Linked DNA regions of Caenorhabditis elegans. The protein of the gene in region 1 purifies or fractionates together with the protein of each later gene. This does not show direct contact. Each region holds a gene or a part of one and is shown in the gene's direction. Other genes may lie near its edges. The genes, in order: nck-1 and unc-34.

Region 1 (7,448 bases):
TCGTCTTCAGCTGCTGCTAATACCCGCGCTGGTTGGTGACGGGGGGCCCCCCTAGATATTTATTCTCCGATGACCAGATTGCTAAGTGTCCCTTAAAGGATCATCTTGTTGTTATTTTCAATTCCCAAGTAAATCCTTCATCTATCCCCCCACAAACCATCTCGTCGTTCCAGTCTGAGATTTGAGCCAGATTCGCAAATTTTCCGCACATTATTTTGGCAATCCGTCTTCAATCTTTTCTCTCTTTTCTCCGCATTCCAATGCATTATTTCGGCCCCTGTTGGCCCCCATTCAAAACCGAAAATTCCCATCATTTGTCATTGACTCTTGTCCTGTCCGAAAATGTGTGTGTGTGTGTGTGTGTGTGTGTGTGTGTGTGCTACGAAGAAAACGATGGGGCTCTTCCAACAATTGTTGCCTACAATTGTCGGTTGTTTTTCCTCTGCTTTTTGTTTCTTTTTTTCTTCTTTTCTTCTTTTGCAAAATGGAGCATAGTCAATTACGTTTCTGGTTTGAAAAGGAAAATTCCAAAAAATTAAAATTTTAATATGAAAATCTGTATTTCTAAAATTACTTAATTGTGGAATTTAATACAATTTGGAGTCTCGTCAGTAAGAAATGTATTCAAACGCTCCTGTTGTTCTTTTTCTAAGTGTGGCAGTTTAATGTGTTGACTGAAATTTTAAAAATTCTAAAAATTCTAGGCCATATTGAACTACGATGGGTATTCTTTTTCGACAAGCAGGTATATTATAAGGCATTTTCTTTTATAATATAATTCAACCAAGTATCAAAAAATCAAAATTTAAATTAAAAACGGTATATAAGTATATAAGTTTGTAGGAGACCCTAAAAAAATTAATTTCAAATTAAAACTTTCATCATATTTCCAGAGCTTGAAAAAAGTTATTCTAGATTTGTAGGAAAAAGAGGTCTGAAAAATATATAACAACTTAACTTTAGCACTTTTGGGGGTAACATTAAATCCAGAAGTATCAATATATTTTCAATAAAGGCCTTACAATCCTAACTAAAACTTTCCCCATTTGCGTGATTTTCCCCATTTGGAAATGCTTACAGGCGCAAATAAAATTTGCCTGAAACCTGATTTTGCACTTTCAGAGGAAATGTGGGGTTTCCTATTGGTACTTTGGCTGGAAGTAATTATATGCCAAAGCCAGGCATCTGAATTATTTCCATTTTCCCATTGAGCCATTCGAAAGTGCACCCGTCTTGCTGAAAAATTCAAAGGCATCCTGACTCATAAGTACATCTGCCCAACTACTGCAGTTATTTTCTCGCTTGACGCCTTCTAACAAAATCCTGCTTACCTCGCCAACTTTTTATGACTATATTCATGTGTTTGCTAACTCCATAAAATAGTATTATTGAATAGGCAATGCTGCCCGCGTTATGCTACTTATTATTCACATCTCACCTTTTTCATTCTTCTTTTTTTGTCATACTTGATACGGCTGTGTGCTAATCTGAAAAAAAAAAGATTTTTGATACTAACTATAAGTTTAATATTTTTCATAACTTTCGAATCAATAAAAAAACTTTCCGGAACCCGTTCATGACACGCTTTGACCTACCAACATCCAACAGCCTAACTGACTTCTGAACAGATTGACATTGACCGATATATCCTAGAAAAATGTGGCGTACGTCGTCAGTGCGCCTTCTTTTTCTTTTTTCCGCTCACTAATGTTGATTTTATCAGGTGTAGGTGTAGTGAGGAGGTAGAATAGACGACGTCAATTACGAGTTGCGTATCCATCCCCTATTCATTTCATTTTCCCACTTGTTCTCCTCGGTTTTTTGCTATGGATTCGCAATTTTTCTCACCAAACCACTTTACAGGGTGTATTACATCGGACATTTGAAATGTCGGAGGACTATGTGGTCGTCAAATACGATTATTTAGCACAAGAGGAACAGGAGTTGACGATAAAAAAGAACGAACGGTTAAAGCTGTTAGATGATAGCAAAAACTGGTGGAAAGTGAGTTTTTATTGACGGAAAACATACTGAAACTAATGGTTAAATGTGAAAACAGTTTGATCCACTTTTCGAGAACTCTAAAACACTGTCGCATGTTCAATTCCCTGCTATATTGAAATTTTAATGTTTTAAGCATAATTAGAACATTAAAATAAGAGAAATTTATTTTAATCAACGACTTTTTGGGGAAATCTACATATTAGTAAGTTCTCACCACTTTTTGACTCGAAATAAAAATGTTCCAAAATTTTTTGAACAGTTTTCTATAATATTTGGTTATTTTAGCATCATATATAAATTTACAATTTTCTCTTTTCATTAAACATCCAGAAAAATTTATAATTTTTTCAAAATTTTCAGTCAACGTTTTGGTCGACCATATTTTGCACATTGACTGCACATTAAAATATTTCAAAAAACAATTCTGAAGAGTTTCATTATGATTGTTGGTCATTTTAGCAACATTTAAACAAAGCTTGCACTGACATTGCTCCACATCTCAAAAAAAAATCCTGGTACCAATTAGCAAAACTACTAATCAAAAAGTGTTCTACAAACCTTAATTTTTTTAAAAATAAATTGAGCCACTTAACGTTGTTTTCCCTCGGATCAAAACCGTTTTCTTCAGGTAATGAACGATTCAAACAGTGTTGGATTTGTGCCTTCAAACTACGTGCGAAAAGAATCAATTGTGGACAAAGCAAAAGGAACAATCAAGGGCTTAGCGCGAGGTCGCAACCGATCCTCAGATCCGGAGCCGGTGAGTGTTTCGTTTTGTTTTTTTTTGTTACAAAAACCCATCTCACTTCCAAAAAAAGCGCCAAACTGCCGCCACAACTAAACGAAACATAATCGACTGTAATGTCGCACTCTCAGTTTTTTTTTGTTTCCAAATGCCAAAACCAGTCTTCACGTGGAAGATTTGTATTTACACAAGCGCTTCCAGCCGAAAGCAACAGTTTGAATTAACTTCTAATTAGAATTGCCAACAGATACTTTATTTCTTTTAATTTTAAGGTACATTAAAACTAGTTTTGATATACTAACTTTCTTCCCAGAACATTCCAGTTTTGTTTCCTTATCATACAGCAAACAAAATCGATTTTTTGCTCCGTTTGTAATGCCATAAAAGTTTCTAGAATGATTTGTCATATTGGGGCAGGAATATTTCTCGTTGTCGGTTTTTTTATTGCAATTTTTATGAAACTAACTAATAGCATTTACAAATTTAAAGTTAATTATTTTAAATATTGTAGCTTCCATTAAAAATTGATATAATAGCCCAAATTCTAGTAAAAAATGATTTTGTCATCACCACAATAACTAATTGAGTGTTTTGCGCGTAAGATACTGCGCATCGTCTGAACTAACAAACTCTTCTTCCCCTGTTTTCCCAGGATTATTGATTGCTCGAGACCGTCCAAAAAGACCTCGCCGCGCGTTCTCCCGTTCTCCTCGCCGTTTTGACAGGTTCGTCTGTTTTTTGCGTTTTCCTTCCTCCACATAAAATACTTTTTTTGCTTTTCTTCTTCTCAATATCAAAACGGCACGCTCAATTTTTCGAATCATATTTTCGAATCGAAATATGCTGAACTTTGTGAGGCAAAAACTCCGTAATAAATGACCGAAACCGTTAATATTTGCATGTGTGTGCAAGCGGCGCATACTATCATTGCCCTGTTATCACACACACACACATACATACGGCTCTCCCGCGACAATGTATTCGGCGCAAATGAGACAGTCTCGGTATACAAGAGCGCGCGAAATTTCAACGCTTCCTATGTTTTTCCGTCTTGACGATACGTTTCAATCGCCTGAGGGCCCCTCCCGCTCTTCACCCCCTAACCAAAATCGTGTTTCGATGTGTGGGGCGCTGCATGCACATTGCCTACGAGCTCAACCGCTCACTTTGTTTGCATTTCTGACTGAAGGTAGCGGGTTGAGTCTGTGCTGCTGCTACTGGCCACGTAGCGCCTCCAAAAAAAAACTTGGAATTTCCGGCTTCATCAAATTTGTTTTTTTTTTCGCCGTTTAAGATCACGTTTCTAATTAAACTGTGAGCTTTCTAGGCGGGAAGAGCACTTCCTTATCGATTTTTCTCGTGCCATAAGACCTCCTTGCAATAAACATCTGCGTCGTCCCTCTAACTTGCCGAACTTAATACTTGTGTTAGAGCCCTACATTTTTTTTAAATAAATTTATTTGAAGTGAAAATTTTATTTTTGAATTTTGAGGCTTTTTGATTAGGATAGTATATTTTCTAATGTAAGCCAAAAAAAAAAGAGATTTCACATAACGATACACTATTTCTTTTGTGTTAGAACTCTACATTTTTTATAAAGTCAATTTATTTAAAGTGAAAATTTTATTTTTTTGGAAATTTTGGAAAATTGAAATTTTTTAGACTCCAGATGAACAAATTTCGTAATGAGAAAAATGGTTTTAAAATTTCTATGGCGCTTCAAAATTTTGAAAAAAAGCTCAATTTAAGCGAAAATCTCTAATTTTAGTACTTTTTTTGTTGTTGAAATTGATTTTTCAGGAGGAGCGATTAAACGGCATCGCGCGTCTAGCGTTCAGCTTGAATAACAACTGTGCGGTGACACCATCATCCAATAAGGTTTGACAGGCTTTTCAATCATAACTTATTTTAATCCGCCAACGTTTTTTTCTTCAGATTCCTATGATGAGCTCGAAAACGAAAGCTGTGGTGAAATTCACTTACGAGCCAAGACTTGAAGATGAGCTCGGTCTCACAAAAGGAGATTTCGTTTATGTCGTCGAGAAAAGCACAGATGGGTGGTGGAAGGGAGAAGCACCGAATGGAGGAGTCGGATGGTTCCCGTCAAACTATGTGGAGGAAGTTGAAGCTTCGACAAACGGAAATCAGGGAAGCATTGAGAACCGAAACCCAGCAGCTGCAGCAGTTCCAGCGCCCATAATGATGCAAGCACCACCGCCGAAGCTCCAGGCGTCACGGTCTTCATTTGAAGTAGGATTTACCCCAATGCAATTTAATAATCATTTTCATAGATTCAGGTCGTCGTTGCATTGTACTCGTTCGACGCATCATCATCTGAAGAACTATCGTTCAAAAAAGGAGAACGGCTCGAAATCGTGGATCATCCAGAACATGACCCCGATTGGTGGATGGCGCGCAACGCCAGTGGAACCACAGGGCTTGTGCCAAGAAATTACATTGAGGTAGTGCATTTAATCGCCTAAAAATTCCGAGAAAAATTGCCCGAATCTGAAACAATTAGAACATTTCAGGTGGTCAACGACTCATCATCCAGCAAAGCTTCACATCAAGATTTCGCACCGCAATATTCAGGAAACGGAGAAATTCCGATGGAGCAACAGCCGTGGTATTTTGGACGCATCTCGAGGGAACGTGCTGAAGATCTTCTACTACATGGTCGTGAGGGAGAGTTTCTGGTCAGAGATTCGGAGAGCAATGTGAGCATTTTTTGGAATTTTTCAAACGGTGTCTTTCCAAATAGTCGCAAGCTTTCAACCATTCCTAGCAACTTTAGAAATGCCAATTTCAGAAGTTGCAAAAGTTGGTTGAGAAGTTGTGGGATACTAAAGTTGTTCAAACAGTTGCCAAAGTTGGTGAAGTATAGTCACAAAGTTGCTAATATTGGTTTTAAAACTAAAATCGACGAATAAGGAGATTCAAGTTGTTTAAGAAGTTGTTAAATTTAGTTTTATTTTAAACTTAGTGCAAAAAAAATCCAAAAGAATGAAGGCTGGCAAGAGGCTACAATTAGTTTAAAAATGGCAGCAAATGACCGAGATACTACGAAATTAATTACCAAAATCAAGGACCGCAAAGGAAAAAAAAACGTTCTAGCGTTTGATTTGAACATTTTCACTCCAAACTATATATTACAGTTAATACGCTTTCATTCTGATCAGAATACAATCTAAATTAAAATCAATCTTCATTGACAGTATCCCATTTGAATATTGCTAGGAAGACAATACCAAAAATGGATATTTTCAACCATTTAATATTAAATTCAATTTTTTTCAGCCTGGAGACTTGTCGATCTCAATGCGCGGAATCGAACGCAACAAGCATTTCAAAGTGCAAAACGTGGATGGTCTCCTGAAAATTGGAAACCGAACGTTTGTGGACATGAATGCTCTTATCAATCACTACACAACCAGCCCAATTTTCTCGTCGCCAACGGAGAAGCTGTTTTTGACCGGTCCTCTTCCCAAGTAAACTACTTGTTCAAAATTTCAATGCAATATTCTTATAAGCTCATTCTTAACAATTGTTGTTTTCTTGTCTTCTTTGCAGCAATCCATTTTTTTTCTGGACAAAGCAAGTGAAAATCTCTTTCGTCATTTCTATCACTAGCCCTGTGTTTAGATATGTTTACTGATTTGCCATCCGCCGTTTTTGATAAATTGAACGGTTGATCACGGTTTCAGATATATTTCTCATTTTTTCTTTGGTTCTTTTTCTTTTCATTCAAGTTTGTAATTTTATCAAATAATTGTCCTTAACTCACACTTTCCATTCATCTCTTCTTCAATTGTCTTTTGCTCCACTTCACAACGCTGCGTTGTTTCAGAATATTATTTTCAATTCCAATTGCCATATGTGATAACTGTAAATGAATTTTCAAGTGGGCATATTTCAGATTTTTTTAATTGTTACAATTTTTCAGGTTTCAATTTTTGTACAACGCGATTTCCGGATGTGAAATGAAACATGACATTATTGAAGGTTTTTATAAATATTTTTTAGAGTATCCGAAATTCTTCACATTTTTGTTGTTAAAATTTTAAATTTATCATAAATTCAAAATTGGAGTTTTTTTGCCAATTATAATTTAAAAAATTGACCAAAAAAGCTTTTAACAATTTTTTACTTTGTAGCGGTCTGAAACTGTGGAAATGCTTTACATTTCTTAAATTTGCCAAAATTTTAATTAACACATTTTGAAATAAAACTTTTAAACAAATTTACCAACATTTTTCTAGCGGTTTAAATTTTTGAAAACAAGGTTAATAACTTTTATTTGATTGTGGTTTTAATTGTAAACTGGCAATTCATCTCAAATTATTTTGTGGTAGCAAACTTGTAAATTTGCAAACAAGCTAATTTGTTAATCGGCAAAAAAAATTGAAAATTAATAGGTGGTAGTTTTATTGTTTATATTATTAATTTTATAATGTTTTATATTTATAGTTGGTAGCGTTTTTTAGATGTTCGGCAAATATGGCAATTCGACAGTTTTAACTCAAAATTCAAGTATTGGTATTATCTCTAACTGAACATTTTTTTTAGAATATTCTCAAATTGAGATTTTCTTTTTTATAACATAAGGCAAAAAGTAACTACGCGTGTGTTTGTATCAACGTTTTCTCCGTCATTAAAGGCTGTTGATCATTTTCTGACACTTTCTACATTGAACATGTCT
Region 2 (5,029 bases), on another chromosome or scaffold:
TTCGCGTAAAATGTGTTGTACAATACGCATTCTCAGTTTCAGACTAATGGGGCCATTTTTCGATGTATCGTTTTTTGTTTCAGGGGGGGGGGGGGGGGGGGGGGGGAAATCAAGAAATCGGAAAAAAAAAGTTCAGAAAATTGAATTTTTTCAACAAATTGAATTTTTGTTCATGTCGATGAAAAAACAAAAAAACAAAAATTTTAAGATACTTTTTGAAAAATCAAAACATTTTTCTACATAGCTGAAAAACGAAATTATAGGGGTTTTCAACTCAAAACTTCCTGGGCTTTTTCGGCCATTTCGTGTCTTCGTGCGCCTTTAAACTACAGTGTTTTTTTCAAACTTAAAAATTTGAATAAATATATTGCCCACGCAAATGTATATTGAACACACTGCATGTTTGCACTTTGTTCGTCATACAGAAAGTGAGACGACGACGACAATGAGTCATTCACTTTTTTATGACAATTCGAAATCTAATCTCTTGTGTCTCGAAGCGATTTCCTTAGAAGTTTTAATTTAAGAAACTACCTTTTATTGTTGTTTAAAAAACCATGATCCCCCCCCCGTGCAACTCGTTTCCGGAAACGGTCTCCATCAGCCTGTGTTTCGTCACTCTCACCCCTTCCCCATTTTTTGTTCCCACTCGGAAACTCTTTCTCTCTCTCGGGTTTCTCACTGTAACGATGGCCGGCACAACAGACAATGAATTTTGATATTTTTGTGTTTTCTGTTTGCACAGTTATTAGAGCATTTTCCATTTTTTTCGCGGGGTTTTCACAGTTTTTTTTGTTTGAAAATTAAAACAAAAATCATGAGTTCAATCAAAAATAATTATTTAGTTTTTCAATTATAAACGAATTTGGCAAATTTTTACAATGTTTTCCATTGATGGGCAATATTTTTTTAATGAAAAAAACCTACAAAAATACCAAAAATTTGAATCAAAAAAGTAATTTTTGATTCATTGCACACTTTTGAGCTCAAAGCAAAAACAGCACTTTTTTTTTCAAAAATTTTACCAAATTTTGAAAATAATTTTTTACGGATTTTTAGGTGTCAAAAAGTGTTTGAAAAAACCAAAATTTCTCAATTTTTGAAAAAAAATTGTTCAAAAAATATATTTTTTCGATTTTCAGAAATTTCTTTTTAAAAAAATCGATATCACACTTTGCTGAAAAAATATTTGCAAAATCTGTAAAAAAAAAATACAAAAAAACTTTTTTAAAACAAAATTTTTCCCAATTCTAGAAAAAAATCATTAATTCCGACCAACGAAAAATCGATAATTTTTCGATTTTTTTTCAAATAATTCCAAAAAAAATTTCTCGATTATCCTAAAAATCTTAAAAATCGATTTTTTTTAAATTGATTTTTTTAAAAATTTTCTAAAAAAAAATTTCCCGCTTTTTGAAAAAAATTCAAAAATTCTTTAACAAATGTTTTCTCCGATTTTCTGAAATTTTGAAAAAAAAACTAGATTTCTCGAAAAATAGCTTCAAATTTGTCCATTTTCCTCTTTTTTCCTCTTTTTAGAGATCAAAATGAACAAAATTTAATAAAAAGTTTAAACGATTTTTCCAAGGTTTTCCAGAAAATCGAAAATTCAATTTTCTGAAAAATCGATTTTTTCCCCTCCCCGAACATTTTTCCCTATAAATCTCGTTCTTTTTTTCGTCATAAAAAATGCATATTTTTCTGTTTTTTCCCTTCTCACATTCTCATTTTTCAGCCAAACCTCCACCAAAAAACTTCAAAATTTTTGCCGTTGCATTTCGAATGCGTGAAACACTGACCGATTGCTGTTGCTGCTGCTGTTGACAAGACACAAAATCTGCCGTAAAAGTGCACTTTTTTGAGCAAAAAGAGCAAAAGGAGATTAGATTGCACTTTTTTGAGCCAGAATGAGGTAATAATGACTATGGAGATGGGGAACTTTTTATGGGAAAATTTGAAAAAAAATTGAAAAAAAAAACCAAAAAATTGGCCTAAAAATTGCAAAAGTTCGGCCACGAGCTTGTGTCGATTTACGCAGCTCGTGTACTTCCCGAGGAAAAGTGTGAATTTTATGTTTTAGGCCAGTTTTTGGCGCTAAAATACTTGATTTTTGACCATTTTCGCTAAATTTTGATCGTTTTCACGTATTTTCGTTGTTTTCAGCATAAAATTATAAAAATTTTGAACAAAATACTATGAGTTATTGATAAAATCGCGAATTGAGTGTAAAAAAAATTTTCAAAAATCGATATTCTCCTCGTGGAGTACACGAGCTCCGTAAATCGACACAGAGGAGCATTTTTTTTCAGAAAAAAATTTGCATGCTCCTCGGGGAGTACACGAGTTATAAAATTTATTTGCCAATTTTTTCGTGCTGGGACCTAATAGGAATGCTCCTTTGAATGCAGACAATTGAAAAAAAACTGTTTTTAGCAGAATTCCCTTCAAAATGAAACCAACGACCAATCAGCGATTCGCACCGCCCACTTTCTAACCAATCAGTAGCTACAAGCATTCTGATTGGTTCAAAAGTGGGCGGAGCGGTTCGCTGATTGGTCGCTGTTCTCATTTTGAAGGGAATTCAGTTTGAGACTATTTTGGGGTTTTTTGAAGCGAAATTTTCATTCACGCTACTCTCCGCACGGATTTCTGGCTTCCCTCATAAATTGAAATGGAAGAGTTTTCCGAACTAGGCCATTTTGGCTCGGCCATATCTGGGGTAGATTTACGGCGCGTTGCGTGTCTCGTTGCGGCTCGATTTTAGTTGTAAAGCTAAATGTATTTGTCCGTGTGGAGTACACGACACTTTTCCACGCGTTGTCCGGCGGACGATTGTCAATGTAGCGCGAAAAATTCAATGAGCAAGGCCAGAACCCCCGTGTCTCCGCGATCTACCACCCAGCAAAAATCCATTTTTTGACTGATTCACAGCGTCTGACTGTAATGTTGACACTGAAGCTCTCTAATGTTTTTTTTGTGTGTGTGTGAGGTGATGCTGTGTGTTCCTATTTGCACAAATACCTAGTGTCCAGCAGAAGGAAGAGAACTGGATGAGCAGTGAAAAGAGCCCGTGCCAATTGCTGCCACTTATCATGTCCGGCTCGACCTCCGAGAGAGGGACGAGACTAAAATTAAATGAAATGAGAAACAATAAAAATTGAGTGGAAATTTAGAGAGTGATTGGATTTTTTTTGTAAAGTGGTGTAGTCGATTTTTTTTTATTGCTTTATTAGACTCAAATGTTTGTTTGAAAACACCGATTTTTTAAATGAAACTTCTTGAAAACTTCTCCAAAAAAAAAGTTATGACCGCTCGAAAAATGACCTAAAATTAGTTGAAATTTGAAATTTGAAAAATGCCGCAGCGGCTGGAAACAATATTTTGGAAAACTCCCGACTTTATTATACCTAAATGAAGTTGAAAATGCAAGATAATTGAATTGCATACTCAAAATTTGAAGGTGATTTCGAAAAAGTTAGTTTCCAGTCGCTGTGACAAGTCAAATTTCGAATTTCAACTAATTTTAGGTCACTTTTCAAGCCGCCATAACTTTTTTTTGAGAAGTTTCATTATAAAATTCGGTGTTTTCAAACAATTTTGAGTCTAATAAAGCAATAACAAATTTCGTCTGCAACACCACCTTTAATCAGATACCATTATTTAAAGTTTCGAAAATCTAGTAGGTTCGCATATATAAGTGGTCGGTTCTATTACATCTGAAAGAGCTCAAAATTCGCAACTTGTGCAAAAAGTTGATCCGAACCTTTTTTAAAAGATGACAAAAATCTCATTTTTTACCTTCTTCAATTTCGCCAACTTTCGAATTATCGAAAATATTCTCAAATTCCCTGAGAATGTCATATTATTAAATTGCGAGTGAAAAAAGTTACAATTCCACAAAAACCGCATTTACTATGATGATAGAAATTACTTTTTCACACTTTTTACCTCGATATTAGTCGAATTGCCAAACATTTTCGATTTCCGGCCACCGAAAAAAAACCAACTTTTTCTTGTCATTTTTGAAACAAGTATATTTTGAAAAAATGATTTTTAGTGCAATCATATTACATGTGCACGAAATTCGGAGAATGCGTAGTTTTTGTGTCGATATACGAGCTCGGTTCGATAAATCAATTAGTTTCGAGCCCGTAAATCGACACAAGCGCTACAGTAGTAATTAAAAAAATTACTGTGGTTTTCGGTACGAGATTTTTTGCGCGTCAAATATGTTGTGTAATACGCATTCTCAGAACTTAGTTTCATTTTTTCCCACCAAAAAATTCAAATTTTCCAGTAGCGAAGCATGTATCGCGACGGCAATGGCCCGAGTGATGACCTACAACGAATCGACAAAAGGATGGGTACTACTCGGCGGAAATGATGATTCAATGACAAATGTTCGCCTAATCCAAGACATTCGGCGACCCGAGTTTCGGATTGTATCCAACCGCGCTGACAGCACGAATATCTTGAATTGTAATATTTATCGAGGAATCAAATATCACAAGGCCACACCAATGTTTCATCAATGGCGTACCGAACAGCGGCGGGTGTATGGGCTGAATTTCGAGAATGAACAGGATGCGACAATGTTTTTAAGCATTGTGTTACAGGCGATTGAGACGTTGAAAGTTCATGATATGAATGGAATTAGTGATTATCAACAGATGCATCGTGCGTTTTTCAAATATAGCTTTCACACGACAAAAATCCCAAGATATAAAAAAACCTAACCAGAGATAAAAATCGAAAATAAAAAATTATCGATTTTCCGGAAAAACGAAGCATCATAACATTGTATAAAATTTATGTTTAGTTTTCATCAGAAACACATCAGAAAACGTATAATTTTTTTGCTCATTTTTCTACAATTTTTAATTTTCCGACACTACTTGAATAACCCCATAAATTATCAAAAAATCATCAAAAATATACAAAAAATACCCAAAAATATCGAAACTGTCAAGTGACTTTTTCAATAGAAAATGGGGTGCAGCACTATTTTTTGGACATTTTTTGAATGCAG

What was found.
Region 2: the proteins of nck-1 (region 1) and unc-34 purify together in Caenorhabditis elegans (affinity purification with western blotting, with the first as the bait; one study listed by BioGRID). This does not show direct contact.

What each region holds. Positions count from the first base shown.
Region 1 is NC_003284.9:4,147,859-4,155,306, reverse strand, and holds nck-1 (NCK (Non-Catalytic region of tyrosine Kinase) adaptor protein family), read left to right. Parts: upstream 1-1,863; 5' UTR 1,864-1,887; coding exon 1,888-2,004; intron 2,005-2,632; coding exon 2,633-2,764; intron 2,765-4,549; coding exon 4,550-4,627; intron 4,628-4,684; coding exon 4,685-4,999; intron 5,000-5,040; coding exon 5,041-5,211; intron 5,212-5,280; coding exon 5,281-5,466; intron 5,467-6,046; coding exon 6,047-6,241; 3' UTR 6,242-6,654; downstream 6,655-7,448.
Region 2 is NC_003283.11:980,799-985,827, forward strand, and holds the start of unc-34 (WH1 domain-containing protein), read left to right. Parts: upstream 1-1,907; coding exon 1,908-1,912; intron 1,913-2,012; exon of another isoform or gene 2,013-2,108; intron 2,109-4,297; coding exon 4,298-4,677; intron 4,678-5,029.